7 linked regions of the Rattus norvegicus genome follow. The protein of the gene in region 1 purifies or fractionates together with the protein of each later gene. This does not show direct contact. Links are inferred from orthologs where the notes say so. Each region holds a gene or a part of one and is shown in the gene's direction. Other genes may lie near its edges. The genes, in order: Dyrk1a, Kiaa0232, Troap, Lzts3, Anapc4, Cdc27 and Ppp1r3f.

What was found.
Region 2: the proteins of Dyrk1a (region 1) and Kiaa0232 purify together in Homo sapiens (affinity purification with mass spectrometry; 3 studies listed by BioGRID and IntAct, with this or other methods). This does not show direct contact. The link is inferred for Rattus norvegicus from reciprocal best matches to the Homo sapiens genes DYRK1A and KIAA0232.
Region 3: the proteins of Dyrk1a (region 1) and Troap purify together in Homo sapiens (affinity purification with mass spectrometry; 6 studies listed by BioGRID and IntAct, with this or other methods). This does not show direct contact. The link is inferred for Rattus norvegicus from reciprocal best matches to the Homo sapiens genes DYRK1A and TROAP.
Region 4: the proteins of Dyrk1a (region 1) and Lzts3 purify together in Homo sapiens (affinity purification with mass spectrometry; 3 studies listed by BioGRID and IntAct, with this or other methods). This does not show direct contact. The link is inferred for Rattus norvegicus from reciprocal best matches to the Homo sapiens genes DYRK1A and LZTS3.
Region 5: the proteins of Dyrk1a (region 1) and Anapc4 purify together in Homo sapiens (affinity purification with mass spectrometry; 3 studies listed by BioGRID and IntAct, with this or other methods). This does not show direct contact. The link is inferred for Rattus norvegicus from reciprocal best matches to the Homo sapiens genes DYRK1A and ANAPC4.
Region 6: the proteins of Dyrk1a (region 1) and Cdc27 purify together in Homo sapiens (affinity purification with mass spectrometry; 3 studies listed by BioGRID and IntAct, with this or other methods). This does not show direct contact. The link is inferred for Rattus norvegicus from reciprocal best matches to the Homo sapiens genes DYRK1A and CDC27.
Region 7: the proteins of Dyrk1a (region 1) and Ppp1r3f purify together in Homo sapiens (affinity purification with mass spectrometry; 3 studies listed by BioGRID and IntAct, with this or other methods). This does not show direct contact. The link is inferred for Rattus norvegicus from reciprocal best matches to the Homo sapiens genes DYRK1A and PPP1R3F.

What each region holds. Positions count from the first base shown.
Region 1 is NC_086029.1:47,475,959-47,479,800, forward strand, and holds the end of Dyrk1a (dual specificity tyrosine-phosphorylation-regulated kinase 1A), read left to right. Parts: coding exon 1-459; 3' UTR 460-3,075; downstream 3,076-3,842. UniProt on the Homo sapiens protein: Dual-specificity kinase which possesses both serine/threonine and tyrosine kinase activities. Exhibits a substrate preference for proline at position P+1 and arginine at position P-3.
Region 2 is NC_086032.1:78,381,285-78,384,921, forward strand, and holds the end of Kiaa0232 (uncharacterized protein KIAA0232 homolog), read left to right. Parts: intron 1-389; coding exon 390-569; 3' UTR 570-2,721; downstream 2,722-3,637.
Region 3 is NC_086025.1:132,111,564-132,116,339, forward strand, and holds the start of Troap (tastin), read left to right. Parts: upstream 1-1,924; 5' UTR 1,925-2,023; intron 2,024-2,268; 5' UTR 2,269-2,273; coding exon 2,274-2,417; intron 2,418-2,524; coding exon 2,525-2,711; intron 2,712-3,856; coding exon 3,857-4,017; intron 4,018-4,101; coding exon 4,102-4,239; intron 4,240-4,322; exon of another isoform or gene 4,323-4,416; coding exon 4,417-4,499; intron 4,500-4,776. UniProt on the Homo sapiens protein: Could be involved with bystin and trophinin in a cell adhesion molecule complex that mediates an initial attachment of the blastocyst to uterine epithelial cells at the time of the embryo implantation.
Region 4 is NC_086021.1:138,310,593-138,315,348, reverse strand, and holds the start of Lzts3 (leucine zipper putative tumor suppressor 3), read left to right. Parts: upstream 1-1,737; 5' UTR 1,738-1,861; intron 1,862-2,075; exon of another isoform or gene 2,076-2,880; coding exon of another isoform or gene 2,881-2,930; intron 2,931-4,756. UniProt on the Homo sapiens protein: May be involved in promoting the maturation of dendritic spines, probably via regulating SIPA1L1 levels at the postsynaptic density of synapses.
Region 5 is NC_086032.1:62,353,407-62,357,382, reverse strand, and holds part of Anapc4 (anaphase-promoting complex subunit 4), read left to right. Parts: intron 1-26; coding exon 27-91; intron 92-607; coding exon 608-650; intron 651-768; coding exon 769-845; intron 846-2,454; coding exon 2,455-2,555; intron 2,556-2,637; coding exon 2,638-2,689; intron 2,690-3,976. UniProt on the Homo sapiens protein: Component of the anaphase promoting complex/cyclosome (APC/C), a cell cycle-regulated E3 ubiquitin ligase that controls progression through mitosis and the G1 phase of the cell cycle.
Region 6 is NC_086028.1:89,925,365-89,929,340, reverse strand, and holds part of Cdc27 (cell division cycle protein 27 homolog), read left to right. Parts: intron 1-1,695; coding exon 1,696-1,793; intron 1,794-2,445; coding exon 2,446-2,600; intron 2,601-2,703; coding exon 2,704-2,915; intron 2,916-3,976. UniProt on the Homo sapiens protein: Component of the anaphase promoting complex/cyclosome (APC/C), a cell cycle-regulated E3 ubiquitin ligase that controls progression through mitosis and the G1 phase of the cell cycle.
Region 7 is NC_086039.1:17,599,613-17,604,292, forward strand, and holds the start of Ppp1r3f (protein phosphatase 1 regulatory subunit 3F), read left to right. Parts: upstream 1-1,617; 5' UTR 1,618-1,683; coding exon 1,684-2,684; intron 2,685-2,691; exon of another isoform or gene 2,692-3,105; coding exon of another isoform or gene 3,106-3,137; intron 3,138-4,680.

The sequences.
Region 1 (3,842 bases):
CACCATCACCACCACCACCACCATGGACAGCAAGCCTTGGGTAACCGGACCAGGCCAAGGGTCTACAATTCTCCAACAAATAGCTCCTCTACCCAGGATTCTATGGAGGTTGGCCACAGTCACCACTCCATGACATCCCTGTCTTCCTCAACAACTTCTTCCTCGACATCTTCCTCCTCTACTGGTAATCAAGGCAATCAGGCCTATCAGAACCGCCCAGTGGCTGCTAACACCTTGGACTTTGGACAGAATGGAGCTATGGACGTTAATTTGACCGTCTACTCCAATCCCCGCCAAGAGACTGGCATAGCTGGACATCCAACATACCAATTTTCTGCTAATACAGGTCCTGCACATTACATGACTGAAGGACATCTGACGATGAGGCAAGGGGCTGATAGAGAAGAGTCTCCCATGACAGGAGTTTGTGTGCAACAGAGTCCTGTAGCTAGCTCGTGACTACATTGAAACTTGAGTTTGTTTCTTGTGTGTTTTTATAGAAGTGGTGTTTTTTTCCCAAAAACAAAAGTGCAAAGCTGCTTGAATCAGAAGGAGATTAACACACTGAACCGCTACGAGAGGGCAAAGCTGACTTTTTTTTTTAACTTGAAAAGATTGCAAAGGGACAATGAAGTTTTTAAGAGCCATGTCCACCCATCTTCATGGAGCGCTCAGAGTGTCCTCTTTCTGCCTCCCCCATTTAACTTCCATCTCCCGGTCACAGTGGGTTTTGTCTTTCTATCCAACAAAAGTTAATGTTCAGCTGTTGGTCTTGGTCATTTGCCAACTAATTTTAAAATAAAAAGGCACTGCACATAATTTGCATAAAGGGCCCCATAGGGTGTTTTGGTTTTTTCATTTTTATTTTTTCCCCTTCTCCCCTGTTTTCTTTTGTTTCGTTTTGGGTTGGGGGTGGGGTGGGAGATTTGGGTTTTTATGTCCTCTACACACTTGGGCACGGAAATGCAGTACTGTAAGGAAGAGGGACCTCCAGCACACACAAACATCATCTTCAGCTGTGTGAAAGGGACGATTGTGTTGGCGTTTGTAAGGCACACTAAGCATGCTAAGTGGCGGGATCAGGACTCTCCTGTCTGAACATACTGAGGAGCAAAGCAGCCATTGCGTGGGATCCTGTGGTCTCCTGTCGGAGAGGCCACAGGACGACGGGATGGAGCGTGACTGCTCGCCTTACCAAGGCGCACTGAGAAGCAATCAGCGGGTCGGTCGCTTGTGGCCAGTCCTGGGGAGGTCTGAGTGGTGGTCCTTGGGATAACCTTTGGCCTTATGGATTTGGACTCGGAGTTAGAAGAGCCCACCATTTCAGATGCAATCACTTGTGGACATGCGTTTGCAGACAGTCCTTAATGCTGAAAACACAGAGAATGGGTAATTCAAGAGGCCTTTCTTTTAAAATAGACTTTTGTGACCCACTAATTGTAAGGTATTGCCAGGTCACTTTGCGTGTGTCATAAAGCTGACTCCCTTCTTGGTTGAAGGCCACAGAGGTAGTGGTTTGCTTTGACGGAAATAGCTACAGCTGTGTCCCTTCCTGCTTTTACCTTTTCTTTGGCTTTTTCTCGGCACGTGGTGTCTCCACCATTTCTTCTGCACAAAGACGTCTTCTGTTCATCCTGAACATTTTAAAATGCAGAATTTTATGTGACTGCTTTTTTGCCTCACAATTATGCTGTGAATTTTACAAAAATTTATTTTCTTTTTTGATAATTTATTGTACCAAAGCTGTTTTTATAGCACATAGATGTCTGTAACCAATAATGTAGCCGTTCTGCACTTTGACACAAGGTGTACCTAGACCATTTTTAAATGTCAGTTGAAAATTATGGCTGTACTATTGCTTAAACAAAACTGGAACTGTTGTTGACTCCATAGCCAATCCACTTACAGCACTCTGTGTACTGGACAGAATAGATTGACATCTAATTCAAGATTACACCACCTGTCTGTCACATTCTGAATGTGCTCAGGCTTCTGAAGGGAAAGGGATGCTGGACCCAGAGGCTGTGGAGCCAGCAGTTGGTCTTGTTTCCTGATTAACTTCCTTGTAAACTTGAACTTGAGACCTTGACTGACCCGGCAGGTCCCCAGTAGGAACAGGAGGAAGGCAGAGCTCTAATGTGACCTGAAGTGAGCAGGCGGCACGAAGAGGCACCGTGTCTGGAGACTACTGCCTTCCTGTAACAGTCTGGCAGTGGCTAAATCTGTATTCACATTTAAATTGAGCAATTTTAGGGTGTGATACTCTGAGGCGGTTGAATTGGGAGAATGAAGATAGAGTAATTTCCCTGTCCAGGATCAAAAGAAGCCTAGAGAGAAGCAGTAATCTACCTCTGCCGATAACCTGTTGGAAGCAACTCAGCAGAACGCCACGTTACTTTTTATTGGTTAACTCCATGTGGCTCACTAGGTCACTTTTTTTTTTCCCTGAGCAAAAGGAGGTTTTTTTTTTTAATGTAAACTTTGACAACAGAAAGGCCCAAGCTCTGTGAGTGCAGTGGAGACTCGGAGAGCCCCGTTTCTATAAACACAGACACTTGGGGTGTTAATCAGGAAATCCATATTTATTTTGTAATTAAATGTCACGCCTGTGGATTGTTTTGAACTTGGTAGTTCCTGAGAGTTTGCGTACAGAGGCCTCTTGAGCACAGCACTGTTGGGAGGGATCAGCGTCTGCGGCTGCGGAGCCCAGGCCACACCACGTGGCTCAGGTCATTCTTTTTTCTTTCTGTGCTGGTTGCCACATTTTAGCAAGCACCAAAAAAGAAAGCAGTTTTTAAACCGATATTTACATAAAGAAAACCACAGAATCCAGTGCTTCTGCATACTGTGTTATGTTGCAGTCCAGTTTTGTGTGCTTTACTACACAGTTTGGTTACAGGACTTCTGTGCATTGTAAACATGAGCAGCATGGAGAGGCTAAATGCCTGTGTTCAGATTGTAAGATCTAGTCCGGACTTGCTGTGTATATTGTAACGTTAAATGAAAAAAGACCCCCTTTGTATTATAGTCATGCGGTCTTATGTATGATAAACAGTTGAATAATTTGTCCTCAGAGTCTTTACTATGCTTTTTTAAAAATTAACTTAAGGAAAAAATGTAAACAGTAAAAAAGAAACAAGCAATCTTCCTGTGCAGTGAAGCAGTTCAGGTCTGTTAGGTCAAGCAGGCACAATTTAGCGACCTGTGTAAAGGGAAAAGCCGTGTGAGGCAGAGAGGCATCGGCTTCAAGTGTCTTTGAAAGTAAAGATTGGAGGTCTAACAGATGATTTGGTTTTTAAAATGGATTCTTGACGTGAGTGGTTATCATGTTCAGTTGCTGCTCCCATGTGGTACTGTCTCCGTGTTGAGAGCATGTGGGAACCCTGCACTTCTCCTGAGGCTCTGGCCTGTTAGGGTGAAGGACAGAGCTGAATGCTGCCTCCCTAACTCTGTTCCCTGGGGGACACAGTAGTCACTTTGCTGTACACAGCCTGGAACCCCTGCCATGCACGCTCAGGCAGTTTCTAACCCACAGCCTTCTCTTCTCAGTTAGTCTGCACAGGGTCTGTTGAGCGACCTCCAGAAGGTAAGAAACTTAGGTAGACACTAATGTGATTCTGGACACTGAGTGGGAACAGAGAACTAACTGCCTTTTTGTTACAGGATCCTTTTTTAGTTAGGTAACAAGCTTATTTTGTGATACTGGACAACAAACCCAAGACTTATTTATACCTAATAAATAGTAGAACTACTTTTTTTTTTCCTTTTTTAATGAAGCTGCAGTAATCTAAGGCCTCAGAACTGTGTCACTGTCCTTGATTCCCACTTCTTTGCCATTAAAT
Region 2 (3,637 bases), on another chromosome or scaffold:
AGTCTGAAGCTTTGTCCTTTGGTTTGTTTGTCTGCTGGAACCGTGCGCCCCTGTACATGACCATGTCTGTTTACCCAGGAGAGCCTGTGTGAAGTTCCACGGGCTACCCTGAGCCAGGTACTCAAAAGACTTGTTGAGAGTTAAGGAGTCCCCTTGTCTTACCCTAGTGTAGCCACATAGATTCCTGTGACTCTAGATGTGCAGAATTAGGATTAGACCCTTCAAGGCAAAGGAGAAGGTGTTCCCTGAGACCGTGCGTCTTCGCGTCTTTGTAGCTTTCTATAGGATATGTCAGTGGTTGCTTCTTCTTCTCTGTCTGGGAGTAGACTGAGCCTTTGGGGGGAGTTGTCTGATTTTTGGTGTATTGAAAATTGTTTCTTGAATTGTAGGTGTCTTCTGTTTATGAAGCAAGATGCACAGGAGAGAGGGGCTCTGAGACAAAACCAAATGGCCTCCCCGGGAAGATGTGTTCCAGTGCCAGCTCTGACGCGGGCGACACGGGCTCCGAAGCCGGCGGAGAGTGGGTGGGCCCCAGCAGAGAGGACCTCTTCTCCAGAACACACCTGTGACCCTGCAGAGTAGTAGCAGTCATTGCACATGCTCTGACGGGAGATTGCCCGCTGTGAGGCCTGTTAGTCTAAAGCAGTAACTTAGGCTTCCTCTTCCATTAACTGATCCGCACCAGTGATTCCCTTTCTCTTCTTGCTTACTTTAGCGTTGAGGACAGCTGTCCTGTTGAAGATTTGTTTCCAAGCTGTTAAGTTCTTGCTCTCTGAAGTAGACTAGACTGTGCTGTCCAGTGAGGAATGGGTGTGCATGTGCTTGTCCTAGTGCGTCCCGCTTCTGCATCGCAGCTGCAGGCCTCCCTCTGGCGGCTGTGTCGCCATCACCTTGTCAGCACTGTGGCGACAACCGCCACCGTCCAGAGACTCTAGCTCTGTTCTCTGAGCCAGGAGATCAGTCCTCCCCTGCAGTGGGTCAGGGCCTTGCTGAAGGAGGAGGGAAGCATGGTGACTCATCTGCAGGCTCATTCAGAAGATCTCATGGACCTTGCTGTAGGAACACAAGGGTGTGCTTTAGAGACTTACAGAATACTGTGCTTTCTCTTAGGATTCCCCTAAAGTACTATGGAAGTTACTGTGGCTTATGACTTTCTTGCTAGCTGAAGAAGCCAAGGATTCGAGGCACGGGGTAGTGGATAGATGAGTTCTGCTACTGCAGTGTGTCTACAGCAGGCACAATGTGGTTCTCTGAACTGTCCCTCCAGTGCATAGTTGAGGACCTTACTTGCAAATTATTATCTGAACTTAAGTCTCCAAGTGAACTTAAAAACATTTGACATGTGCAGTAAGGACACCTCTTACCCCAAAGAAATCTTCGGCTGCTGCAGCTAGCTGCTCCTGTGGCTGTGATGTAGTATAGCTTGTATCTCATTTTGTGTTTGAGAGAATGTTCTGGGCAAGTTGTGCTTGCGGTGGGCTGGGGTGGGCAAAGGAATTTCCCACAGACCTGTGTGATTGCTGTTCTGATCATCGCCTCATGTGACTTGGTGAAGCAGGCAGGCAGCAGGCCTCACAGTCACATTAAGTGTGCTGATCACCTTGAATCTCTCTTGCAGCACTGCCACAGGTGCTAGTAGGGCCAATTGTGCAAAACCTAAACATCCAAAATTATTTTTCTCTTTTAACCAGCTTGTTGTTTTTAAAAACACCTTGTCTATGACATGGATTCAGCATGTCCAGAACATCAGGAGTGGCTGAGAGGTCTGAAGTAGTTGAACTGGCCTCTCCAGTAAGTGGAGCAGCACTGGACATGTGTGTGGCTTCTTAGCTGGGAGTGGAGCTGCCCCTCAGGCCTTGCTGGTGGTACTTGAGTTTGTTGCCTGTTTCTCAGGAACACAGGAAACACCATGGAGACTGTGCAGGCCCTGTAGTCCTGTGCGTCCTCATCATGGGAGCCTGGCTTGCTGGCTGGGGCATCTTACCACCTTAGGGTTTGTTTTCATACAGCACATCTTCTGACACTCTACAGTGGCTTGTGTGTGCGTGTGTGCATGTGGAAGGTTTCATGTTGCTCTTATTTATTTACAGGTATCAGATAAGTTTTATGTATTTTTTCTTCTGGAGCTTCCTAAAATTTGATTAACATCTGCACTGAAATATAACCTATCATCAAAGGCAAAAAGAATTGAAATTGTAAATTCCTAAAATCAATGCCATCACGATTACCCTAGAAATTGTTGCTATGACCAAATGGATTTCATACTCAGCCATGAGCTTGGGTGACCTGGACAGCCATTGTTCATCAGGAAAGGCTCCAGGTGGCAAAGACACCTACGTCTTCGGCTGTGGGGAGAGGCCCTCCACAGGGGACACGGTGGGTCATCAAAGGCAAAGGGATAACTAGATTCTGTATTTGGTTTCTTTTTGTAGTTAAGTGGCTAAAGCTCAGAGGCTTTGGTACAGAATTAAAGTGTGGTTTTAGTTTTGTGAATGGATGATCACAAAAAGCATTAAAAAAAAGTTGGCAAACGCTGAAACGCACTGTGGTATGAAGCGCGTTGCATATCCGTAGCACTGAACTATCAGCTCCATTCCTGGGCTGATTTTTTTTTTCCCCCGTGGTTGTATTGTTCTGATTTCACGTACACCAGAGTAACTGATTTTTTTTTGTTTCGTTTTGTTTTGTTTTCTTGTGGAGTTAACACCAAATAAAAATTTCAAAAATGTTTGTTGTTTTTATTTATCATAGCAATCCTTTAAAGTGAATAAACAGCTTCCTCTGAACTGAGAAGAACAAGAGGAAGCCAGATCCCCTCCTCCTCCTGTGAGCAGTTAGCCTCTCAGAGCTGGGAAAGCAAGTAGGTAGGGCCTGCTTGGCAGCCAACTGGTCCATATCCCCAATAGGCCCTGTCCTCAGAAGTCAGCAGGATGGCTTAGTGGGAAAGGTGCTTACTGAATCGAGTTTGATCCCCAGGATCCATAGAAAGGTGGAGAGAGAATGGCCTACAAAGTTCCCTTTGACTTCTTTTTTTTTTTTTTTTTTTTTTTTTTCTTTTCTTTTCTTTTTTTCGGAGCTGGGGACCGAGCCCAGGGCCTTGTGCTTGCTAGGCAGGCGCTCTACCACTGAGCTAAATCCCCAACCCCTCCCTTTGACTTCTGAATGCATGCCTAGAATGTACTGCACTCACACAGTACACAGTAACATGCACAATGTGTGTATATACAACAGCAATAAACAACCAGTCAGTGTTTGAACAAGAGTGAAGGAAAACGTCATATGTGCCTATAGGTATCTTGTAATAACTCTCTCTAGGTCTGGGTGCCCACAGGAGCACAGCCATGCTACAGACTTCTAGCCTACCCTGCAGTCAGAACGGAAGCTTGACGGCCTGTTACCCAGCAGAGATTGAGCAGGGGCCTCATTGACAGGTAGAGCATTCCTTTCATCTCTGTCACTGAACTTCCTAGCTCAGTGGGGATCTAAGGACATGACATTCTTCCTGGGAACTAGCAGGTACATCCCATGAGGTGGCCAAGCCCCTTTCCCTGTTGTTCCCCGAGTCCAGATGTGCCCACAAGTTGTGCTGACAACCCCCTCTGCTTTGCGTGGGTTTCTCTCTTTTTTTTTTTTTTTT
Region 3 (4,776 bases), on another chromosome or scaffold:
GCAGCTAGTGCACTTAACCTCTGAGGCATCTCTTTAGACCCCAGTCACTGAGGTTTTAACCAGCCTTTGCGGACACACCTTCCTTTTGAGAATTCTCCTTCCCAGAAGACAGAGAGCAAGTGGGCAGAGTGGCATGGCACAGAATGCTAGGTTTAGTGTGCAGAAAACTGAGGCACAACATTTCAGAAAATTTCTCTACTATAAGAAATGGATTTCTGTGGACAGAAAGACTGGGGCTCCCCTGAGGGCTCAAGGAGCTATTCAGAAGAGAAGGCAGAAAGATGTTAAGAGACAGAGAGGTTGGATGACTCCAAAGTACATCGTCTCTCAGACACAGCAGGACTGATGCACCTATGAGCTCACAGAGGCTGTGGCAGCACCCACAGGTTCACGCCAGACTGGTAGCCAATGTTTTTGTAGCCTCCTTGTCTCATATGGCTTTGGTTGGCATTATTTGTCTAACTGGTATTTTGCTTGTATATTATGGTTTCCGACTTTGTGTTTTTATAGGCTTTGTGTTTTGTGTGTTTCTTGTGCTTTTTTTTTCTTTTTCTGTTCTGGTGTTTGTTTTCTAAGGAAAGTGTGGGTGGAGAGGGAAGAGGAAACTGTTTATCAGAATATATTGCATAAAAATTATTTCTGGTGAGACGGTTCAGAGGTTCAGAGGTTACGAACACTGGCTGCTCTTCTAGAGGTCCTGAGTTCAATTCCCAGCAACCACATGGTGGCTCAAGACCATCTGCAATGGGATCTGGTGCCCTCTTCTGGCATGTAGCTGTACATGCAAATAGAGCATCCCTACATTAAAAAAAATATATAATATTATATATTATATATATAATTTTAAATATTTTTCAACTAAAATCATATGTATTTAAAATAAAAAGACTGGAGGGGTTGGGCAAGGAGACTATTTGGAAGACAATGGCTTTCTAGACCAAGCTGGCTGTCTTTGCGTGCTACGCTTTGTCTGGCTAAACAGCTGAGTAGATGCTCTAAGATATGAAGTCCGTAGGTGTGAAAAGAGATGGTGTATGGAAGGGGAGATCCGGAAGCACTTGTTCCTGGCTTGCTTATCAGTGTCCTTTAAACTCCAAACGGATGTCTATGCAGCGGGTGTGCAATCCTTGCACAATGGAAGCTGAAGCAGGAAGCTGCGAGTTTGAGGCCAGTCTGGGATAGAAAGAGCTTTTGTGTGTGCGCGGGTGGAATGAGACATTTGTCTATTCTCATATCCATCATCTGCCAATGAGTAGCGGGTGAGCCCTCCAGACAAGTGGAAGGCAACCTGAAGATGCAGAGATCTCCCCACACTCGAGGAGCCCCTTCAATTCTGAATAACAAAACTCCAGCCACCCTGGGTCTGACCACACCCCACCAGGTTGTGGGGTCCGAGTGGACAAATGATTTCTTGGCTCCTCGTTCTTGATGGGTTCAGTTCGGTTACCTCCAGCCCTCTCGCCCATCAGGTTCCTCATCCCCCTTAAGAAGTGCCCATGCTTCCTGAAGTGTTTCCCAAAACCCGGCCTTGCACTGCGTTCAGAGTCTGGTCAATAGTGTGCTCGATGGCCATTCTTTCCCACAATTCCGCGGCCTTCAAGAGAGGACAGACCTCGCTCGGCTGGCTCCTGATCTCGCGAGAGTACTGTAATGCCCGTTGCAGCCCAGAGTCGCCTTCCCGGGCTTCAGAACAGCATCCTCCCTGGCTGTCCCCCAATCCGGCCACTCGCGCTCCGTTTTCGGATTGGCTGAAGAGCTGGTCAGTTGTTTTCCCATCCAGAAAACGTTTCGGCGACTTGTCCCTCTCTGGCCCCGCCCTCGAAGCCTGCGGATTGGTTGGCTGCGTGTGACGTCACGCGCCTTCGCGTCAGCGGGAACTAGCCAATCACAAGCTTGGCGTATTTTACAAACCGGGGAAGCCTCAGCAGCAGCAGCAGCAGCAGCAGCAGCAGCAGTAGAAATCCAGAAAATCGGCGAAAAAAACCTGAGAAAGTAGAGGTGACCCCGAGGAGCTCCTGGAATGGTGCGGCACGGGGATCTTAGGGGAGTCCTGCCGAGGTTCCTGGGGAGGAGAGCAGTTTGGGGCGAGATAGCAGTCTTGGGTTTCTGGAGGAGTCGCCAGGAGAGAGGCCTTGCTGCCGGTGTGGGCTTCTAGGCACATGGATTAGGACCAAGGGAGAAAAATCAGGGATATCAGCACCCATAGCCTGAGAATGATTTGCTTCGTTCCTCAGTCCTGTCTGCCTTTTTCTCTCGTCTCAATTATAGCCGCCATGACTACCCTCCAAACCAGTAAGGACCCGCACCTCCGAGGTGTATCTCCCAACCCTAGCAAAATTCCAGTACTCTCTCAAAGATGCTCGGATTTTTCCTCAGCCAAGTCGGGCTCTCTGGACCAGGAGAACCAAGATCCAAGGGTAAGAGGGGCATGATGGGTGAAAAGAGTAACCACAAGGAGGCAGCTCCCGTCTGCACTGAACCCCCACCTCCGCGCTGAACCCCAACTTTTTCCCTCTCCCCTCAGAGATCAGCGAAGAAACCACTGCACCGTACTCAACGTCCCCTCACTGACACGGCAGGCCTCAGATCGAAAGCCCTGCACCAGACAGAAAAATCACAAAGACTGAGGATCACTCAGCCGCGGAACCCTTTGGAGGAACTCAAGCCTAGCTCTGGGGGATCAAATGTGGGGCTCACCCATCCCCAGACAGGTACCTGTTGGAGGCCGGGGGACAGCCTACTTGGCGGAGCAAGGATGAGAGACACAAAGTGGGGGTTTTGTATGCCTTCTGGTCTCTTGCATACTGTAAGAGTCCTGGGCCTTGTCCCGGAAGCTCTGTGCTCTATGAAGCCATTACAGCTAAGTGCCACCTTTTGCCTGGCATGGTGACTCATGCCTCTAATCCCAGCACTTTAGGGGGCAGAGGCAGGTGGTCTCTGTGAATCGGAGGCCTTGTCTATATAGTGAGTTCCAGGCCTACACAGTGATATCCTGTCTCAAAAGAAAAAAAAAAAAAATCAACCATCAGTCACATCTTCTGGGCCTTTTCAGCAACCCCAATCAGGACAGTCACCATCAATCGCTCAGCTAAACTGAGTCTTTATAATCTGCCCAAACTTCAGCTTTAACTTCTTCCTTTCAATAATAGTTTTATATTTAAAGATTTATTTTTATTCTGTGTGAGTCCATGCAGTGCCCATGGAGTTCAGAAGAGGACATCAGAATCCCTGGAGCTAAAGTTATAGCCGGCTGTGAGCTATAATTGGCTGTGGGTGCCGGAAATATAACCCAGGTCTCTCAGAAGAACAATGGCTCTTAACCAATAAGCCATCCCTCTAGCCCCTAAGAAGAGGTTATTTTTAATGGTGTATGTGTGGGTGTATGTGATGCTCGTAGAGGACAGGCATTGGATTGTCTTAGAGCTGGAGTTCCAGGCCAGCCACCTGACATAGATGCTGAGAGCTTAAGACCAGTCAGCCCTATGCAAGAAGAGTAACGGTGTGTTCCTAGTCCTCACGGCCTCCCTCCAGCCCCCGGTGATATGCTCTGTATGGCAAAACCTTTGTTTTATTTTATACCCCACTGTCCAGAGCAAAGCCTTACATGAAATTCTTTAAACATTGGTGAGCTTAGGTTCAACCCAATGATCTCTTTCTGTCTCTCAAGATGGCTCTGGGCTCTCTATGAGCTGGCGGCTGGCCTTGAACACCTGGTTCTCTTGCCTCAGTGTCCTAAATTCTGGGATTGTAGCTGTGTGCACCACATATCCTGGCTCTGATGTTTCTTTTGCTCACTGTTGCTAGCCCTCAGTGTCCTCTATTCCTGTCTCCTCTAATCCTGTCTCTTCCCTTTCAGAGGCCTCAGGGGCTATAGAGTTTGTTGCTGACCCTGCAGCCCTGGCCACCATCCTGTCAGGTGAGGGAGTGAAGAGCTGTCCCCTGGAGTCCCGGTCCAGTCTGGCTCAGAGAGTGCTAGTGCGTGAGAGAAAGGGAGGCACCCACATCCAGAGGGGCCAGGTAATGAGACGGATATGAGACCAGGCTAGGGTGGGCTAAGGGGTAAATTCTGAGTCTTGCTGATAGCCTCTGTCGGCGGTCCAGAGTGCACGGTCTTCCGCATACCTGGCTCCCAGAATCCGCGCCCACCAAGCGGATCCCGCCAGGGCTTCCTGCTTCTCAAGGCTGGAGGGCCCAGGGCTCCGAGACCGCACTTTTTCCTCACAGAGGTCAGAGGCTCTGGTGAGTACTCTTGAGGGGCTGACTCTCAGTCCTTCTAGAAGCTTCTTCCTGGAACAGAGTAGGCCTTGGGACAACATCTCAAGATGAAGCCCTGGGCTGTTGGGAGAGATGGGGTGAGGTTTGTGTCAAGCTCGGGGTCTGCTTCTGACTCTGTCCTCCTGTCTTGTCCTGGATCAGAACCCACGTGCAGGTTCCTCCTTTCATTCCTCCGCTCGCCCCAGTTTACAGGAGCTCAGAAGAGAGACCTGTGGCGGTAGCAGGTACAGAGAGAGTAGATTCCCTTTGGACCCCAGAGGGGATGGGCAAACATGTCCCTGGGTGGGGCAATGGGGTTCAGACTCTGATGGCTGGGCCTTATCTCAGACGTGGAGGAACTTGGAGGTACACGAAGGGCTCTTTGATTGGCTACAGTAAATAGCTTTTGAGTTTAATTCCCGACGCTTACCACTGCTAGCCGTGCAGGCTTACCTTAACCTGTCTGTAGCTTGGCTTCCGTATCCATTGGCCAAATGAGGATAGCACCAGTACTGGGAGAAG
Region 4 (4,756 bases), on another chromosome or scaffold:
CAAACCCGGTCTAGATGGTGAGGTCCCATACAGCCAGGGCTCTGTGGAGAGACCTGCCTCAGAAAAGAAGAGGAAGAGGAGAAAGAAAATGTCTCGAGGATTCTTCCCATATCCCATTCTCTCTTCTCACTTAAAAGAGTAGCAAAGCTGGACTTACCTGTTTAAAGCAAGGCTGACACATTACCTCTCTGACTTAAGGAAAGGAATTTATCTTGTGATATGGTGGCCACAAACCAGGGTGATCACCACAAGTTCCATGACACTCCGTTCACAGATTTCTAGAATATATAAATGATTTGTCAAAATAAGTTCTTAGTTTATTTAATATACTTCATTTGGATTCTTTGGTTGGTTTTTTTTGGGGGGGGTTGTTTGGTTGGTTGGTTTGGTTTTTGTTTTTTGAGACAGTATTTCTCTGTGTAACCCTGGCTATCCTGGAACTCAATCTGTAGACCAGGCTGACCTCCATCTCAGAGATCCTGCCTCTGCCTTTCAAGTTCTGGGATTAAAGGCATTTACTTAATACATTTAAAGGCAATCATTAGAACTGGAAACAGAATTTATTAAAATCACTACAGAAAATAAAAACAGTTGTGGAAAAAAGCAAAAAAAAAAAAATTGAAAATCTATCCTATGTCATAGGAAGGCTAAACTCTTCAGGTATTAAAACCGCCAGCTGGGGTTGGGGATTTAGCTCAGTGATAGAGCGCTTGCTTAACAAGTGCAAGGCCCTGGGTTCAGTCCCCAACTCCGAAAAAAAAAGAAAAGAAAAAAGAAAAAAAAAAAAAAACCGCCAGCCATTTGCTAAGGCTGAAGCGTGGGCCTACCTTGCTCTCTCAAACTGATCAGACCAAGGTCACAGTTGAAGACTGACTGCTTCCTTCAGGAAGTTTTTCTGGATGGTTGGCAACCCCTGTAGTGCATGCCACATGCACTTGCCAAGGTGTGGATCTGAGTCAAGATGAAGTCTTTAACCCAATCTCTTTCTGGGGTGGGGATTGTTAGTTTTACAGCAGGCATGGGGCACAAGGTATAAAGTACAAATTTCCTGTAGCGACAAGTTTTAAATTGGTCAATTTATTGGCTCTTGCTTCCAGCGAGATCATAGCTAAAGGTGCCTTCACACTCCCACATCTTGTAGGTTTGAAGACTCTTCAGGGTTTTTTGCTTTATTTTCCCCCTTAATTTTTTTTTTTAATTCCGTTTATGGTTGTTTGGACCATATATTTGTGCAGCACCCGTGGAGGGCAGAAGATGTCGGATCCTTCGGAACTAGTCAGCATATGGATGCTGCGAATTAAACCCGGGTTCTGTGGAAGAACAGCCAGTGCTCTTGACCACTGAGCCATCTGTCCAGCTCCAGATTTGAAGGAATTAGGAAGTCTGCTGCACCGGGAATAGCTGGTGCAGGAGTTGAATCTAGAGTCCAAGCCGGGTTGTCCGTAAACCACAGGGCTCATACATTCAGATATGGAGTTCAAAGAGAGTAGGGACTTGTTGGGTTTGTTGGAGGACAGAAATTGGGGGCTGACCCTAAGAATTTGGTACTGTGGTTAACGGGGACTGAGGCCGAGTGTCTGCTACCCAGCCTGCTGGGCAGGCGGGCCAGCGCTCAGCGACCAAAGGGGTTAAGGCACCGAGTCCCACCCACGTCCAGGATTGGCGGGTCCCGGGGGCGTGGCCGGAGGGCGGGCCCGCGTTTGCCGCAGCCGCTGGTGGGCGGGCCGGGCGCGGGGCGGGAGGGGCCAAGAGCAGAGCCGGGCCGCGCTGCGCGCCCTGTGGGGCGGGCTTCGGGCTGCGCCAGAGAGCGGGACAGCTAGCGCCGGTGTCTGAGCTTCTGCGCCGGACTCTGAGGCAGTGAGTAAGTGATACAGGCCTGCCGGGGTGCCCCTCTAGGTTCTTCCTCTGGTCACCATGTCCGTTGCAGCGCTTTCTGCTTCTGGCGGGTGGGAAGCTGGGGAGGGGGCGCGTCCCGCTGCTAGGGTACCGGGAGCTGGGGGATGAGGCCGATGATGTCATGGACGCTTCAACCGGCGCAGGGGGTGGGGGGGAGGTGGCGGCCGGAGGGGGTGCGGCCCGGATTATGTCACCTCTTCTCTCTGCACCCCGCCCCCCCCCGGGGGCCACGCGCGTTGGTGGAGAACCGAAGGAGGTATGGGTGGAATTTCTCCAACCGCAGAGACCTCTGTGACACCTTTGCAGAGAATTTGTGGCTGGGGTTTATGTATTAGTGAATAGCGACCCCCCCCCCAACCCCGACTCCGACACACACATGCACAGCTGAGGCAGGCTCCTGTGTGAGCGGGTGGGTGGGGGTGTGCTGTCGGTACCTTCAGCACTGAAGCACTGGCTTCATCAGAGTCAGGATCTAGGGGATGGGCCTCTTCCCCTGCAGGTGCCCACGTTTCCAAGGGAAGATGAATCTCTCCTCACACATCCCAACCAAGAAGTTCTGCTCCCTGAATCCTTTCCCTTAATCCTTCCTGGAAGCTTTTCCTTGTCTCTATGTCTGAATTCATTTCCTATTTACATGGTCATAACCAACATTCCCACAAGCATTGGCCTTGCATTTTCTTAATGCCAGGGTCCAGAGACCCGCTAAAGATATCGTTTGCGCCCTGGGGTAACACAGACTTCCAGTGGAGAAGCCTCACAGTGAAATCTCCCTGGGGCATCCGGAGCTAAGTGCTCCAAGACCCCTTGGGTATCAAGGATGCTATGCTGAGGGGTATTTGGACTGGTTCCAGAAGAATATAGGTTGGGCAGAGAGCTGAGAAGAGGCCATGTGTGGAGCGAAGAGCCGTTTTCAGGAGAAATACAGGATGAATATCAAGAAAGGCCTCAGAGACAAGCTCTACTTGACTGTGGGTGCCAGAAAGAATGCCAGGCGTTTTACACATAATCCGTTTCCTCCTTAAAATCGCTGTCAGGTAGGTGTGAGAGTCTGAGGTGGAACAGTCTGCATGAGGTTCCATAGCTGCGCTGTGATTTACACCTGGAGATGATGCTGCACTAATTCTAAGGCACTCAACCTGCTCACGGAAGGGTTTAGCCAGAGTCCATTTGGTCCCTTTGACTACTAATATTGTAATGTCACAGGCACTGAGGGTTGACAGAACAGAAGCAGAGGCAGGCTCAGGCAACAGGTTATCATCCCAGAGTGATGCCCTTGCAGATCACAGCTACCTAGGCCAGTCCATGAGGAGACTGTCCTACAGAGGGAGCTCAGCCCTTCCTCTCCCCTCAGTTCCTATTTGCCAGGGAATGTACTCCACTCCTTGTCCTTCCCACTCTACCAGGGTTTTGAGAAAAGAATTTGCAGGATCCCAGGGTTGGAAGAGGCAAGGGGCAGGGAGCAGTTATAAGGTGTTGAGTATGACAGTTTAGAACTATGGCAAGGAACTCTATGGGAATTGCCTGTGGGTTTACTACAAAGCCATCCTCACGTAGAGCCTGAGAAGGGAGGCTCAGGGCAATGTCTAGGACCCTAAGAATCTGAGAAGGAGCCCCTGTAGAGGGAGTGTGAAGCAGAATGACCACCTCCCAACTCTGATGCTCACTCCTTGGAGCTCAGAAAGACTGTGCACGTTGCAGTTTATAGAGATCTCCCCAAACACTCACCATGCTACCCCTGTCACTCAGCTAGCATGCTCTCTCCTGAGGCTGTTCCTTCCGCCTCAGCCTCTGGTGCAGCTCCTTTGCTAGCGTCTGCCTTGCCTCACTGGGGGTGCCGGCCTTCAGTGTTTCTATCTAGTTTTTAATTCCTATCAAAATGCTGTTTGTTTTTTGGTGAAATGTATGTGTGTGCACACAGAGAGGGATCGGGGCGCCCTGCTCAAGCTCTCTCTGCTTCATCCCCTTGAGAGTCTCTCACTGAACCTAGAGCTTGGCTGGCAGCAGGCAACTCTCTGAGGTCCTCCGGTCTCTGCCCTTCATAGCGCTGTGGCTACAGACCCTAGCATAACTGGCTTCTTAGGTGGCTTCTGGGGATTCAGACTCAGGTAACCATGCTCTTGCAGCAGGCAGTCTTATCAAGCCATCTCTCCAGCCTGTTGATTAGTTATTCTATGTTTCTCTGTATGTTTTTGGAGGCACAATCTCATGCAGCCTATCCTGGATTCCAACTCAGTTTACACTCAAGGTGGGTTTCGAACTCTTGATCCATCTTTGCCTGCACGCCACCACATCCAGCTTTCAGGGTTACTTTTAAAATAAAAAAATAAAAAAAAAAGGAAGGCCTTTGATTCCAAACTTTCTTCAGTGAAGGCTTCCTCCGTCCTCTTTTAACAGAGGCCTCTGCTGTCTCTTCCCAGCGCCTTGTTATCCCTTTGCTCCATCTGCTTTTGCTTTACACGGCTTTTCTGAAACCATTTTGATATAGACATCAATGATGTTCTCAGCTGCTAAATTCAGGCCATGTTCTTCAACTCCACTTTTACCTTCTGCAATATTTCTTTTCAGCACTGGAAACTATCCTTGTGTTCTTTTCCTTCCTTCCTTTCTCCCTTCCTTCCTTCCCTCCTCCTTCTCACTTTGTTTTTGTTCTTTCTTTCTTTCTTTCTTTCTTTCTTTCTTTCTTTTTCTTTTTTTTTCTTTTTCTTTTTTTCGGAGCTGGGGACCGAACCCAGGGCCTTGCGTTTGCTAAGCAAGCGCTCTACCACTGAGCTAAATCCCCAACCCCTTTCTTTTTCTTTTTTGAGATGGAATCTCATCTGGTTCTCATTGTTGCATCAAACTTCTGGGCTCCAGCGATCCC
Region 5 (3,976 bases), on another chromosome or scaffold:
GTTTTGTTGTGTTTTGTTCGGTCTAGGAAAAAACTACAACCACATCGGTACAGGATGAGTTCATGCACTTACTGTTGTGGGGGAAAGCCAGGTGAGTGCACCTAGGTGATCTCAATGGGACTTTCCTTCCTATCTTCTCTTGACAGTAATTATTTCCTTTGTAAAGATAAAGTATAAAATTCCGGTAGAAGACCTCTACCCCCAAAAAAGTATGTGACTTTTTGGGATTTTTCTCTGAATTTTTCATATAAATGTGATGAGTGTGTGTGTGTGTGTGTGTGTGTGTGTGTGTGTGTGTGTGTTGGATATATAAAAGTTCCAGAACTTTTATGTAGCCAAGAGAGTCTTTTTCTTCTGATACCTTGGGTAAATAACTACCCAGGTAACTACTTCCCTTCTTCGTGGTCAGAAGTGTATAGTTCATTTATTTCTGGATTTTACTGGGACAATTCTCTTTTGGATAAAACACAATCCTCATTTTGACTGATACTACTTCTTCATGTTTATTTTGTTCCAAAATCCTGTTTGCACTTTGAAATTTAGGATCTAAATGGCACGTTTAGAGTTTGAATGGAGACATTACTAAAACACTTCCTTTTTCTTGTAGTGCTGAACTTCAGACTCTCCTGATGAACCAGTTAACAGTGAAGGTGCTGTTAAAGTCTCTATGCTTAAATGGCTGTGAACATATTTTTAATAGTTTTCTTTTTTGGGAATGACATATAGTATCATAGTTACATGCTAAATGTATTTTCTTCTCTTAATTAGGGCTTAAAAAAGCTTGGCCAGTCTATAGAGTCATCATATTCCAGTATACAAAAACTGGTTATAAGTCACTTACAGAGGTACGGAAGTGATGTAGAATGTTTTGATACTGCATTCATACATTCATGGCATTGGTCATATTTCTGCTTCCTTCTCTCCACTGTTTGATATTGTCTTTTCAAGCCTTTTCTAGCTATTTGCATTGGCATTTCAGGGAACTTGGCATACCCAAGATTGAATCAGTAATGACCATTTTGTGTGTGTGTGAAAATGGTTTTCTAACTCTTTTAGCCAGGCTGGACTTTTTAAGCATTTGGGCTTGTTTCCTATTTGACTATAAAATAAGCCACATAGCTGCTAGTACTTTACATATTTTTTCATTTAATATTTGGCAGTTTGTTCTTGTCATCTTCGTTTCACACCAAAGTTAGTTATGTGACTGGCCAGTGTTCCTCAGTGTTAGGCCACGGCTTGCTCCTGGGTGTTCCAGGTCTCCTGCTGCCTCTGTGCACAGCGGCTTGGGAGAAGCAGTTTGTAAGTGGCTGCTGACTGTTCGCTTTGTATTTTAACAACTCTTATGCTGGGTTTTTAGAAATACCTACAGTCCCTTGAGCTCCCTGAATACCTTCTGTTTTGTGTCTGTTTACTTCACCTTCCCCACGGAGTGTAATGTTACTTAAAAACGTGCAGTATGTTTGCTTTGTTCTTAAAAGCAAAACCTTTTCAAGGCCTTGAGCACATCTGCTTCTGCTTTACCCATGCTAAGTACCTTTTGGTTTTCCAAGCTTGACACTGTATCTCCCACTCAGGGAATTTTTTTTCTCCCACCACCTTTTTAAAAATAAATATCTTTCTTCTGATTTGTTCATTTATTAATTATGATGCTGGGAATGGAATCTAGGGTCTTGGGCATGTTGGTAAACAAACTCTACTATTGAGTTACATCCCCAGCTCTACCCAAGGACTTCTATAACCTTCCTTTCTTTTTGGAGCACTCTCACCTTCTTTCTCTTTACTCGAGTTCTTTAGCTCTTTGCTCCTTCAGAGAAGCCTTTAGGAGCTCCTGGGATAGGTCAGGGTCTTCCATTTCATCTGTGCACGACTGCTTATGACTAACTCTCTCATTACATTAAATGCTTCAGGGACCTTACCATGATGGACACCTTTCCACTGTGTCCTCAGCAGCTGGTGTCTGACATGAAGTCAGAGCTTAAGAATATTTGTGAGGATAGGTTAGTGTCGTATGTCTTTATTCCCAGCACTCAGGATGTAGAAGCAACTGGATTTCTATGAGCTGGAGGCCAGGCTGGTTTGCATAGTTCTAGGCTGGTCAGGGCTACATAGTAAGAGCCTGTCCTATAAACAGACCTGTCTGTTGTTGAACAAATGTCCCTGTGGTAAAGTGCCAGGATTAGGACTAGAGGTGCAGCTCGGTGGGTAGAGAGCTTGACAAGCACTGTGCGTGGTCTGATCATGATAGAGAATCTAATCTGGTAGTCTTGTGTTTTCATCTCAGTTGCCATGATGGATGAATAAATGATTCTTCTAGTTCTTAGAAATAGTTTTTGTAAATAATTCTTTTCTGTGGAAAGACTTAAGATTTGTTTGGTTTTATTTCTGAAATCAGCAAGTGATTGTTGACTCCCACCTTGGTGATAGTAATGGTTCTTATCTCTGCTCCTTTGCTAGTGGCTCAGAGTCTTTACTCTATCACTTGAGTGAACTTAAAGGGATGGCCTCATGGAAACAGAAATATGAACCTCTAGGACTGGATGCTTCAAGCATTGAAGGTATTGATTGACTTTCTCCATAGACTGCACTAGACACAGTTCACTTCCTCAAGTCACACTTTTTTGTCTGTTTTTTCTTTAGATGCTATTACTGCTGTGGGTTCTTTCATCCTTAAAGCAAATGAACTTCTCCAGTAAGTAATGTGCTAACCAAGAATGTGGATATGAGAATATTTACTTTTTCCTTAAATAAAAACCTACCAAGTTGACCTGATTCCCTTAGGAATTTTTTATCAGAATATGTCAGTAGCACAGAGATCATTTAACGAAAAACTTTATTTTCTGCTCTCTCCATCTTTATCCTTATTCTTACTCCTTGTCTCTTTCTGTTTACTTCCTTTAATTTATTCTCCTAAAGGCTTATTTCTAGTACCTACCAATTTTATTTTATTTTTTTGTTTGTCCTGATTTTCCTGAACACTGTTGGCCTTGTCTTACTACATTGTGTTGTATCGTGTAAGGAACTCCCTGTATTCCCTGAACTTTCAGCCTTTTAAATGCTGCAATCACATCCCCCCGCTCAGACTCTCTTGTTTTCTTGCACTGTCCATCATCTCTAGCACACCCTTCCCTGGCTTCTCTTTCTGAAGGTCGTGCACCATCCTAGCATTCCTCTGCCCCTCAGCTCGTCCCTTCACCCTGCACCTGTGCTTCTGTGCTTCGTACTTTTGCTTCCCTGTCCAGCTGTTTGCAAAAACACTGTCTATCTTGCTTTCCTGCATTAGACCAGGGCTTTCAGGAGAGCATATCCTAAAGTAACTTACTCAGAAAGATGTAGAAGGTAATCTTCCCCAACTCTTTCTTAACCTCGTATAAAATTGATGTGTTTTGTGGGACTTAGGATCTGAAGAAATAATTTCTCCTATAACTTTCTTTTTAAAAAAAGATTTATTTATTTATTTCATACATGTGGGTACACTGTCCCTGTATTTAGGCACACCAGAAGAGGGCCTTGGATCCCCATTACAGATGGTTGTGAGCCACCATGTGGTTGCTGGGAATCGAACTCAGGACCTCTGGAAAAGCAGTCAGTGCTCTTAACCACTGAGCCACCTCTCCAGCCCTCTCCTATAACTTTCAAAGCATTGCTCCATTACATTTAGGAGTTTTTTTTATTGCTGGTAGACAGTTACTTGCTTTCTGATAGCTTTGAAGTCTATTTTTTTAATTTCATTTCTGTCAAATATTAGTTTTACTCCTTGACATTTTGAAGTTTTATAGTAGCAATTCTAGGTGTGGGTCTTTCTATTCGTGATCTGATATTAAAGAGCTATCAAAATTTTAATATTAGAACTTGACAGACACCCTAAAATTGGGTGGTGGTACCAAATGCTTTCAATCCTAGAACTTAACAGGCAAAAGCAGGCAGATTTCTGAGTTTAAGGCCAGCCTGATCTACAGATCAAATTCTAGGACAGCCA
Region 6 (3,976 bases), on another chromosome or scaffold:
ATGCCATCTGTTATATATTATGAAAAAAGGGATTAAAGCCTACAAAGAAAGAAAGAAAAAGAACTGCTGTTAAAAAAAAAAAAAGGGGGGGTTGGGGATTTGGCTCAGTGGTAGAGCGCTTGCCTAGGAAGTGCAAGGTCCTGGGTTCAATTCCCAGCCCCGAAAAAAAGAAAAGAAAAAAAAAAAAAGTAGCCAGGTATGGTGGTGTATCCCTTTAATCTCAGCACGCAGGAGGCAGAGTTTAAGGCCAGCTTGGTATTTGTGGTGAGCTCTGGGCCATTCAGGGATACATATGACTTTTTGTGTAGAATAAATTATCTGGTTAAATAGGGGGTTTTCAGGTGATGTCAAATCATTCATGCCACAGTTGTGAACTAGAATAAAGAAAGATAGAATGAGTTGAAAAATGGTGTACGCCTTTCGTCCCAGCACTTGGGAGGCAGAAACAGATGAATCTTTGAGTTCTAAGACAGCTAAGGCTACACAGAGAAAACCTGTCTCAAAAAAAAAAAAAAAAAAAAGAAAGAAATGAAGCTGGGTGCTGTCGTCCAGCTATGATTATTGTTGTCATTCATTCGAGGGATGCTTGAGGTTCTTCTCCCATTATACCTAAAGACGGTAAGGACTTGGTCCTGGGAATATTAAAGGGACTAACTCACAGCCCCCACCATATTTTGTGATGGAGAAGGAAGAAACAGTAGTTAAAATTTTTATTATTGTCAAAAGGTATTGTAATAAGGTTTGGGCAGTATTTTGATCAGGTGAGGGAATGCTAGTTTTAACTGGTTAAGAATAAAGGCAGCAGCCTGTGTTCCGTCCTCCATGCTGGGCGGGAAGGAGTAGTAACAGAACGCACCTAGAGGAGAGTTGACAGCAAAAAGAGTCATTTTTTTCTTATATGGTGGCTTCTCAAAAAAAGTAGATGTTTGAGGGCAATAAATGATTTACAGGGAGTGATGGGGGAAGGAGGTTGAAAAAATAAAAATCTTAAGGAAAAATGTAGAAATTCTTTTAAAGTATAATTAGATTAGATAGAAAAATATGTATATTTTGGAATTGCCAAAAGCAAATATAGGAAGGCTAATCACAGGAGTTTAGATCAATCCTCAAACATTGAGATTTCATTGGATTTTTCCCTTTAATATTTCTTTAGTGAATGTATTTTCTGTGCGTTGCATGTTTGCAGTAAGGCCAGGGGAGAGGTTGATCTTTCTACGTCATTCTACCTTCTTTTAATCAGGGTCCAGTCTCTGTCTCTGTCTCTGCCTTTCTCTCTCTCCCTCTCTCCTTCTCCACTCACTCACTCACTCACTCACTGAGCCTGGCAGTCACCAGATCGCATCCATCCTCCTGTCTCCACCTCCCATAGCACAGAGGTCACACTCATTTATGGTCACACTCAGCTTTTTTTTTTTGGCATGGATGCTGAGGTTCGAACTCAGGTCCTTGTGCTTGTGCCACAGCCCCTGTATTTTTCTTTTCCTTAACCTTGGATTAATATTAATTAATTGGTGTTAATACCCATGGATTGATTTGTTATTTATGACTTCTATTGCTTCTAGAAAATTATAATTTAGGGACGCATCAAAGAGTGCTGTGAGAATTTTTATAAGATTTACCTGGTTTTTTATATCAAAAATTATAAGAAAAGCTTTAGGGCTTATAGTTTATTTAATCCATTGTTTCTCTCCACAGCAAGACAGATCGGCTTGCCAAAGGATCAGAATGTTACCAAAAGAGCCTTAGTTTAAATCCTTTCCTCTGGTCTCCCTTTGAATCGTTATGTGAAATAGGTAAGCTCATGGAGACGGTGGCGGGAGCGGTCTTCTTCCTCTTCCCCTTTTCTATTTCTCTCTCTCTCTCTCTCTCTCTCTCTCTCTCTCTCTCTCTCTCTCTCTCTCTCTCTCTCCTTTCTGTTTGTTTTATATTGTATTTTTTGAGTTCGGGTTTTCTCTGGAACTCTGTAGACCAGTCTGACCTTGAGCTCACAGAGATCATCTGCCCCTGCCTTCCAAGGGCCAGGACTAAAGGTGTTTGCCACTGCCTTCTGGCAGCAAGATCTAAGTTTACTGCCAGCTTCAGCCGCATTCAGCTTCACCACTAGGGGAGTTTGCAGGCAACCCTATCTCAAAACGCATCTTACTTCATGCAGAGGTTTTCAGGTTGGGCAGCAGACACCTTCCCCGCTGTACCTTCATGCTGGCCCTGAGTTATGATATTTAAAACTTGTAATTTAGTTTATTTCCCAAATGTAATCTTTAATGTAAGGGTTAACTTCCACAATAAGTTAATGATTGGGCGTTTGGGAGGTAAGATTGATAACATAAGTGGGCAGGAGAATTTTGAAACTCCAAGGCTTTATTTGTACCTAATTATGTATACTTGAAAAGAAATTACCCCTCAGAGGCAAGTTTTTTGTTTTGTTTTGTCTTTTGGTCTTCACAGGTGAGAAGCCAGATCCTGACCAAACATTTAAATTAACATCTCTACAGAATTTTAGCAGTTGTCTTCCCAACACGTGTACAGCTCTAGTATCTAACCACAGTTTATCTCACAGACAGCCTGAGACAGTCCTTACAGAAACTCCCCAAGACACGATTGTAAGTGCTTTCCTTCTGATGCTCAAGTATTCTGAACACCCGCAAGGGTGATTGGGCCTTAGCAGTGTATCATAAGTGACATGGTAGAAAATTTCTGTTTCAGGAATTAAACAGACTGAACTTAGAATCTTCCAATTCAAAGTACTCCTTGAATACAGATTCCTCCGTGTCTTACATTGATTCAGCTGTAATTTCACCAGATAACGTCCCCCTTGGAACTGGTCCTTCCATATTATCTAAACAGGTTCAAAATAAACCAAAAACTGGTCGAAGTTTATTAGGAGGACCAACTGCTCTTAGCCCATTAACCCCAAGGTAAGTCACACAAGATATTTTAAAGTGTATTCTAATATATTAATGATCTTTGGTGAACCCTATTACTAGTAATGTAAGTTAATTTAAACAGCATCCTCTCAAATCAGTGTGACAGATTGGCGTTCTGTTTTCAAAAAAATGAAGTAAAAAAAATACATCTATAACATTTTTGAATTAAATATTAAAAGGGTGAGAATGTAGCTCAGTTGGTAGAATGCTTGTAGAGCATGCACAAAGATCAGGCTTGATTCTCAGCACTCTGTAAACTGGGCAAGGTTTCAAATGCATGAAATTTTACCACTTGGGAGGTAGAAGCAGGAAGGTCAGAAGTTCCTCAGCCAGGAGTTAAAAGTCAAAGCCTATGATATGTGATGATCTTTCTCAAAGTAAAATTAAGCAGAGGAAAATATTAAAGCTTTTTAAATATGTATCAATTAGTGTATATGTGTATTAAAGATCCAGTCTTTATGGCTGTGCATCTACAGATAGCAGTGAATCCCTCCAGATGTATGTGTATGGTGTGCTTATGGCAGCATTTCCAGTCCTCATTTCTGAAACCTGTCATTGGGAAATAATGTTGTCAAGATTATTAAAAGTGTATTATATACGTATACAATAACACTTCACAAAGGATACGTATCAAACTATCAAACATACCAGAACTATCAAACAAACTCATGAAAAAATAGACTATGAATGGAGTCTCAAGGCCAGAAAGCTATTAAAATAGCATGACCAGGAGATTGATTGGGGCATCTGCAGAGACCAATGGATAACTGTATCGATAATTATTAAGTAATTACTAGTAATCTCTAGAATATTGTCTTCATTGTTCCAAAAATTGGGGTTTGTTTTCATCATTTGGATCATAGCTTTTAAACAGCAGTCCGTTTCTAAGAAAAATAGCCACTGTTCTCTTCAGGTCCTTGTCCTGTCTCTGTGGTTCTGGGGGGTGGAGCCCTCTACATTCACAGCTCATGTTGAACCTGCCCCTCAGGTGACTGACTTGCCATTCTCTTCCTTTTAGACCTTCTAACTTAAGTATACTGCTGCTTTATATA
Region 7 (4,680 bases), on another chromosome or scaffold:
TTATGAGGGTTAGATAAGAACCTTCCCTGAACCTGGCATTTAGCAGTCAGTAAGTCCTAATAAGTTAATAAACAGGAGTGGGGAATGTGTGAATGAACATGCTGACAAAATCTATGCCATTCCCACAGGAGGTGCGACCTTAGATGAGGAATGAAAAGAATTCACTAGATGAAAGAGATAGATGGGACAGCACTCTGATCAGAGGAGGTAGGGAGGGGGGAGAAAGAAAGCCACTGTGGGGTGAAAAGTGTCAAAATGAGCAAGAAGGGGAGGACTCTGATTTGAACTTACATTAGCTGATCAACTGGTGATGACATACTGTCAGAGTAAATGTGTGCTAAGTGTGAGTTAGAAAAAGCTAGTTCTTCAAAAAAGGGTTCTATTTTCTATTTTGTGATCGATTCATGCAGTGGTGCCAAGTCCTGAAGAATCTCAATGCTCAACTCGGGACTTTAAGGGACAGTCAAGAATGTTCTTGGCTAGTTACACTGGCCACGAAAAGGCTGGGAGGTGTGTGTGGTGGTGTGGGGCCGACGGGACACACCCAGTAACTGATAGGAGAACTGTTTTGCTTTGGTCTCACAACAACCGCGCAGTCTGGGTTTTTAGGGACTCTGGGAATTCGTGGGGCCATGGGGAGTCATGGAAGAATAGGGAAAGGTCAATCCATCCCCCCAAAGGCCCGATCTTATTGTTTGACTGAATTTTGATTCTGTGCTCAATCACTCAGGCTTAGGCTCAGCCTATGCACCTTCTTCTACTTTAACCTATTTATTGGCTACTCATGCTTTCCTTCGCAGCACCTACACTACCATCTTTGGGCTTGCTTTCCTATCTTGCCTCCACAGTATCCTTTTGGCTACATTTGTCTAGCTTCGGCTTTGGTTAATCCTATACTGGCACTGTCCCTTGAGATATCACAGCCTTCACCCTGGCTCTCCATCTCTTTCTCACTCCCACCTTCACTCCTCACATGCCCTAGTGCTCCCCCCACCCCCGCTACAGCCCCGCCTCCGTGTCTGCTCACACACTGCCTTCCAGACTCTGTTCAGTCTCTGTATTGGCTAGATCCACCCTGTTACCGCCTCTTGAAGCCATAGTGTGCGCTCACAGGACTCCCCATTGGCTCGTTGCAACCATTATCGTCACTCTGTCTCTACATCATTCGCGTGCAGTTCTCCATTGGCTGTTCTTTTTATCTTTCTTACGTCTCACCGCCTACACAACCTGCGGATCTCCCAGTTTTTGGACCTCTGGGTTCGCTCCCCGCTGCCCCCATCGCCTGTAGCCATTTCATCTTCCCACTGCCCACCGTGCCGCTCGTACTCAGACTTTCCTACTAACTGTCATACTTCTGCTAGCTACATCTTCGGTCCCGCATTAACCCCACTCAGGCCTCTCCATTGATTCCGTGATCATCCCGCCTCCCACACCGCCCACGCTCGGGCGTCTTCATTGGTTGCTAGCTTCTCCTGCTTGTCAGTCACCTTACGTCACTCCCGCGTGGCTGTCCATTGGTTGTTGGCTGTACCTGTCTTTATCTCACCGCCTACGCTCCACTGGAGCCCCACCCCCCCGTCCTGGCGTTTTCATTGGCTGCCCGCCTTTTCAGGCCCTGCCCCCGCCGGTCCCACCGCCGGTGCCGTCGGTGCCGCCGCCGCCGCCGCCGCCGCCGCCGCCGATATGGCGCGCACGGCCCCTGTGGAGCCACCGCTGCGGCATCCCGCGCCCCCGTCGCCGGTTGCGGGAGAGCCCCGCGCCTCAACTGAGGCGGCGGTGGCCCCGCGGAGGGTGCTGTTCGCTGACGAGGCCCTGGGGCTGCCTCTGGCGCAGCTACGCCGCTACCGGCCGTGGGGCGGGCCCGGGGCGGGCAAGATGGCGGCGGCGACCGGGCAAGATGGCGGCGGTGGCGGGGCTGATGAGGATGATGATGGCGAGGATGGGGATGAAGGGGAGGAGGAAGAGGAGGCTTTTCCCGATCCCTCTCCGCTGTGCCCCGTTCCCGCTGGCGGGGGGTTTTATCTGGTGCCCACATTTTCGTTGCCGCCCGCGCCGGGCCGTCTGGAGCGGTTGGGGCGCGTGATGGTGGAGTTGGAGGCGCTGCTGCCGCCTCCTGGAGCGGTTCCCGGGGGTTCCGGGGTGTGGGTGCCTGGGGGGCGCCCGCCAGTAGTGCGCGGGTTGGTGCGCGTGCTGAACCGCTCCTTCGAGAAGGCGGTGCACGTGCGGGCCTCACACGACGGCTGGGCTACCTTCTGCGACCACCCAGCGCGCTATGTCCCACGCAGCCCGCCTGGGGCAGGAGTGGGAGGAACAGGAGCAGGAGATCCCCTCCTGGATCCGGGTCTAGGCCTGGGCCCTGGCCAGGTGTCTGCCTCCTCACCCGACGACGGTGGCCGCACTGACCGCTTTGCCTTCCAGCTGCCCTTTGCTGAGGGTGCGGGCGATGGGGCGCGCCTTGACTTCGTGGTGCGCTATGAGACCCCCGAGGGCACTTTCTGGGCCAACAACCATGGCCGCAACTACACTGTCCTGCTCCGGATCGCACCCGCTCCCACACCCACTGATGCTGAAGGGCTGCCCCAGCAGCAGCAGCTGCAGCAGCTGGAGCCACAGCCTGAGTGCCAGGGTCCTGTGGAGGCTGAGGCCAGGCAGCTGAAGAGCTGCATGAAGCCGGTGAGGCGCAGGTAATGTCTGCCAGCGCCACCTCCACCAACACAGGGCTGGATGTAGAATGGAGGACAAGCCTCCCATCCCAGAAGTCCCCCCTCCCCCAGGCCTGCTCTCCAGAACAGGCAGGAGGGTGCAGTCGGTCAAAGAGTAGTGGAGACCAAACATGTGCTAGGCACTGTTTTAAATACTGGGGTATCATCCATTTAGTGAGTTCCACTATAAGGCCCTGAACAAGACAGACACCTTCCCTGTCCCCAACCATCCCGCAAGGCTCCTCTGGGAAACAGAATGCAAAAGCAAACAAGCAGATAAGATAAATAGGGCTAAGGTTAGTGCTGAGAGGAAAATACTGTAAGGCTCTGGAGGGAGTGGCTGCTGTAGACGTGTTGAGGGTGAGCTCTCGTGAAGAGTCCCAGACGGTGATAAGGAAGAGTTATGGAAGAGCGAGTTGGTAGAATTTGGACCAGGTAGGACGCTTTCTGAGGTGGCATTTAAACTTGAGTCCAGAGGGGTACGGAGCAGTGGTGCGCATACATGGAAGGAAGATGTAGGTAGTGGGAACAGCAAGTTCCGAGGTCCTGACCTGGTTATGGATTCGGTGTGAATGTCAGCCAGTGTGCTGGAGTGGAGAGAACATGCGGGTGCGATGGTGTGGACTAAGGGTCCCGGTGTGGGGAGTGGAATCTGATTCCTATCTGACCCAGCAGGAAGCCAGAGTTACAGAGGTAGAGAAGCTGGTTGAGGAAGTGGTGGTACTTGGCTTTTTAGTTACAACCATTTCTGGTCTTGAAGTCTGTGCACACCTTTTTACTGTTCCTCTGGTGGTCAGAGAGGCCTCCTGCGGAGTTTAAGGAGTGAGGCTATATTCTCACATAAAACATTAGTTTTGGCGGAGGCTGGAACAGATGAGAAGTGGACTTGAAGCTCATCTCTCTTTTTAAAATTTGCACACCTCTTATAAACTTGAGGGGCTGGGAGAAAGACCATTTATAACCCAGGAGACTGAAATAATGCTTTTCTAGGTCTTTACCAGGGCTATAAGTTTGTCAAGGGCAACAGCCAGGCTTGATGCCCGGGGTCAGTTAGATTCCCTCCGAAGTGCATACATCTTCCTGTTCCTATGAGAAATGGGAGTGGGAGGTTGCTCTTTTGGCCCTTGGAAGCTGCATGATGGAGCAGGGTGCTATGGGACCTGCTGGTTGTGCTTAGGGCTTAGACTGTGAGTAGTTCTGAAAGGTTTAGCTCTTAGTGGATGGACCTTGAAGCATTAAGAACTTGGATTCTCCTATTAGATTACCTGGGTTCAAACCCCAAGCCTGCCACTTTCTAGTGTGACCGTATCCAATTCTTAACCGCATCATGCTGTCAGTAACTATCCTCTTCTGTAAAACAGGCAATTATGGAAGTGCTGCACAGGATGAGTAAAAGCACTATGTTGAGCCTAGTTCAGAGTTGTGCCATAAACCTTGTGCTATAGTGGTGTCAATGATCGTTAATGTTTAGATGCTCACGCATAGTCTTTGTATGTATTCCTTTCCCAAACTCAGCTTTGTTGTCTGGTCTTGTCTCAGTTTTCTCATTTCTCAGAGAGGAATGGTTTTCCCATTGTGTGGTTGAATTGGACGCAGCACCCGTAGGCAAGGTAACTGAGGCATAATTGTAGCCGTAAAAGGTCTGGTGGTCAGCATTTCCTGCTCTCCTGTAGGAGTGGTAGGGACATTCTCCTCTTGAGGCCAGCTGAATGTGCTGTTGGTTGCAGGCGCTAGAGTGAGTCCTAGTTAATGGGAAATGGGGAGCTTGGAGAGGTGCTCCAGCTTGCTCAGAGTCACTCAGGTAGTAAATAGCAAGCAGGGACGCAGTGTTAGGGCTGCTACTTTAAAAACAAATCCCACGTTTCACTGTTGGTGCTCTTAGTTCTTCCCTTTGTCCCCTTGTACCTGTTATGTATGCTTCAGGTTTTATTGAGATGTACAGAAGTGGACTGTACTGATCCCCAGTGCAGGGCTCACA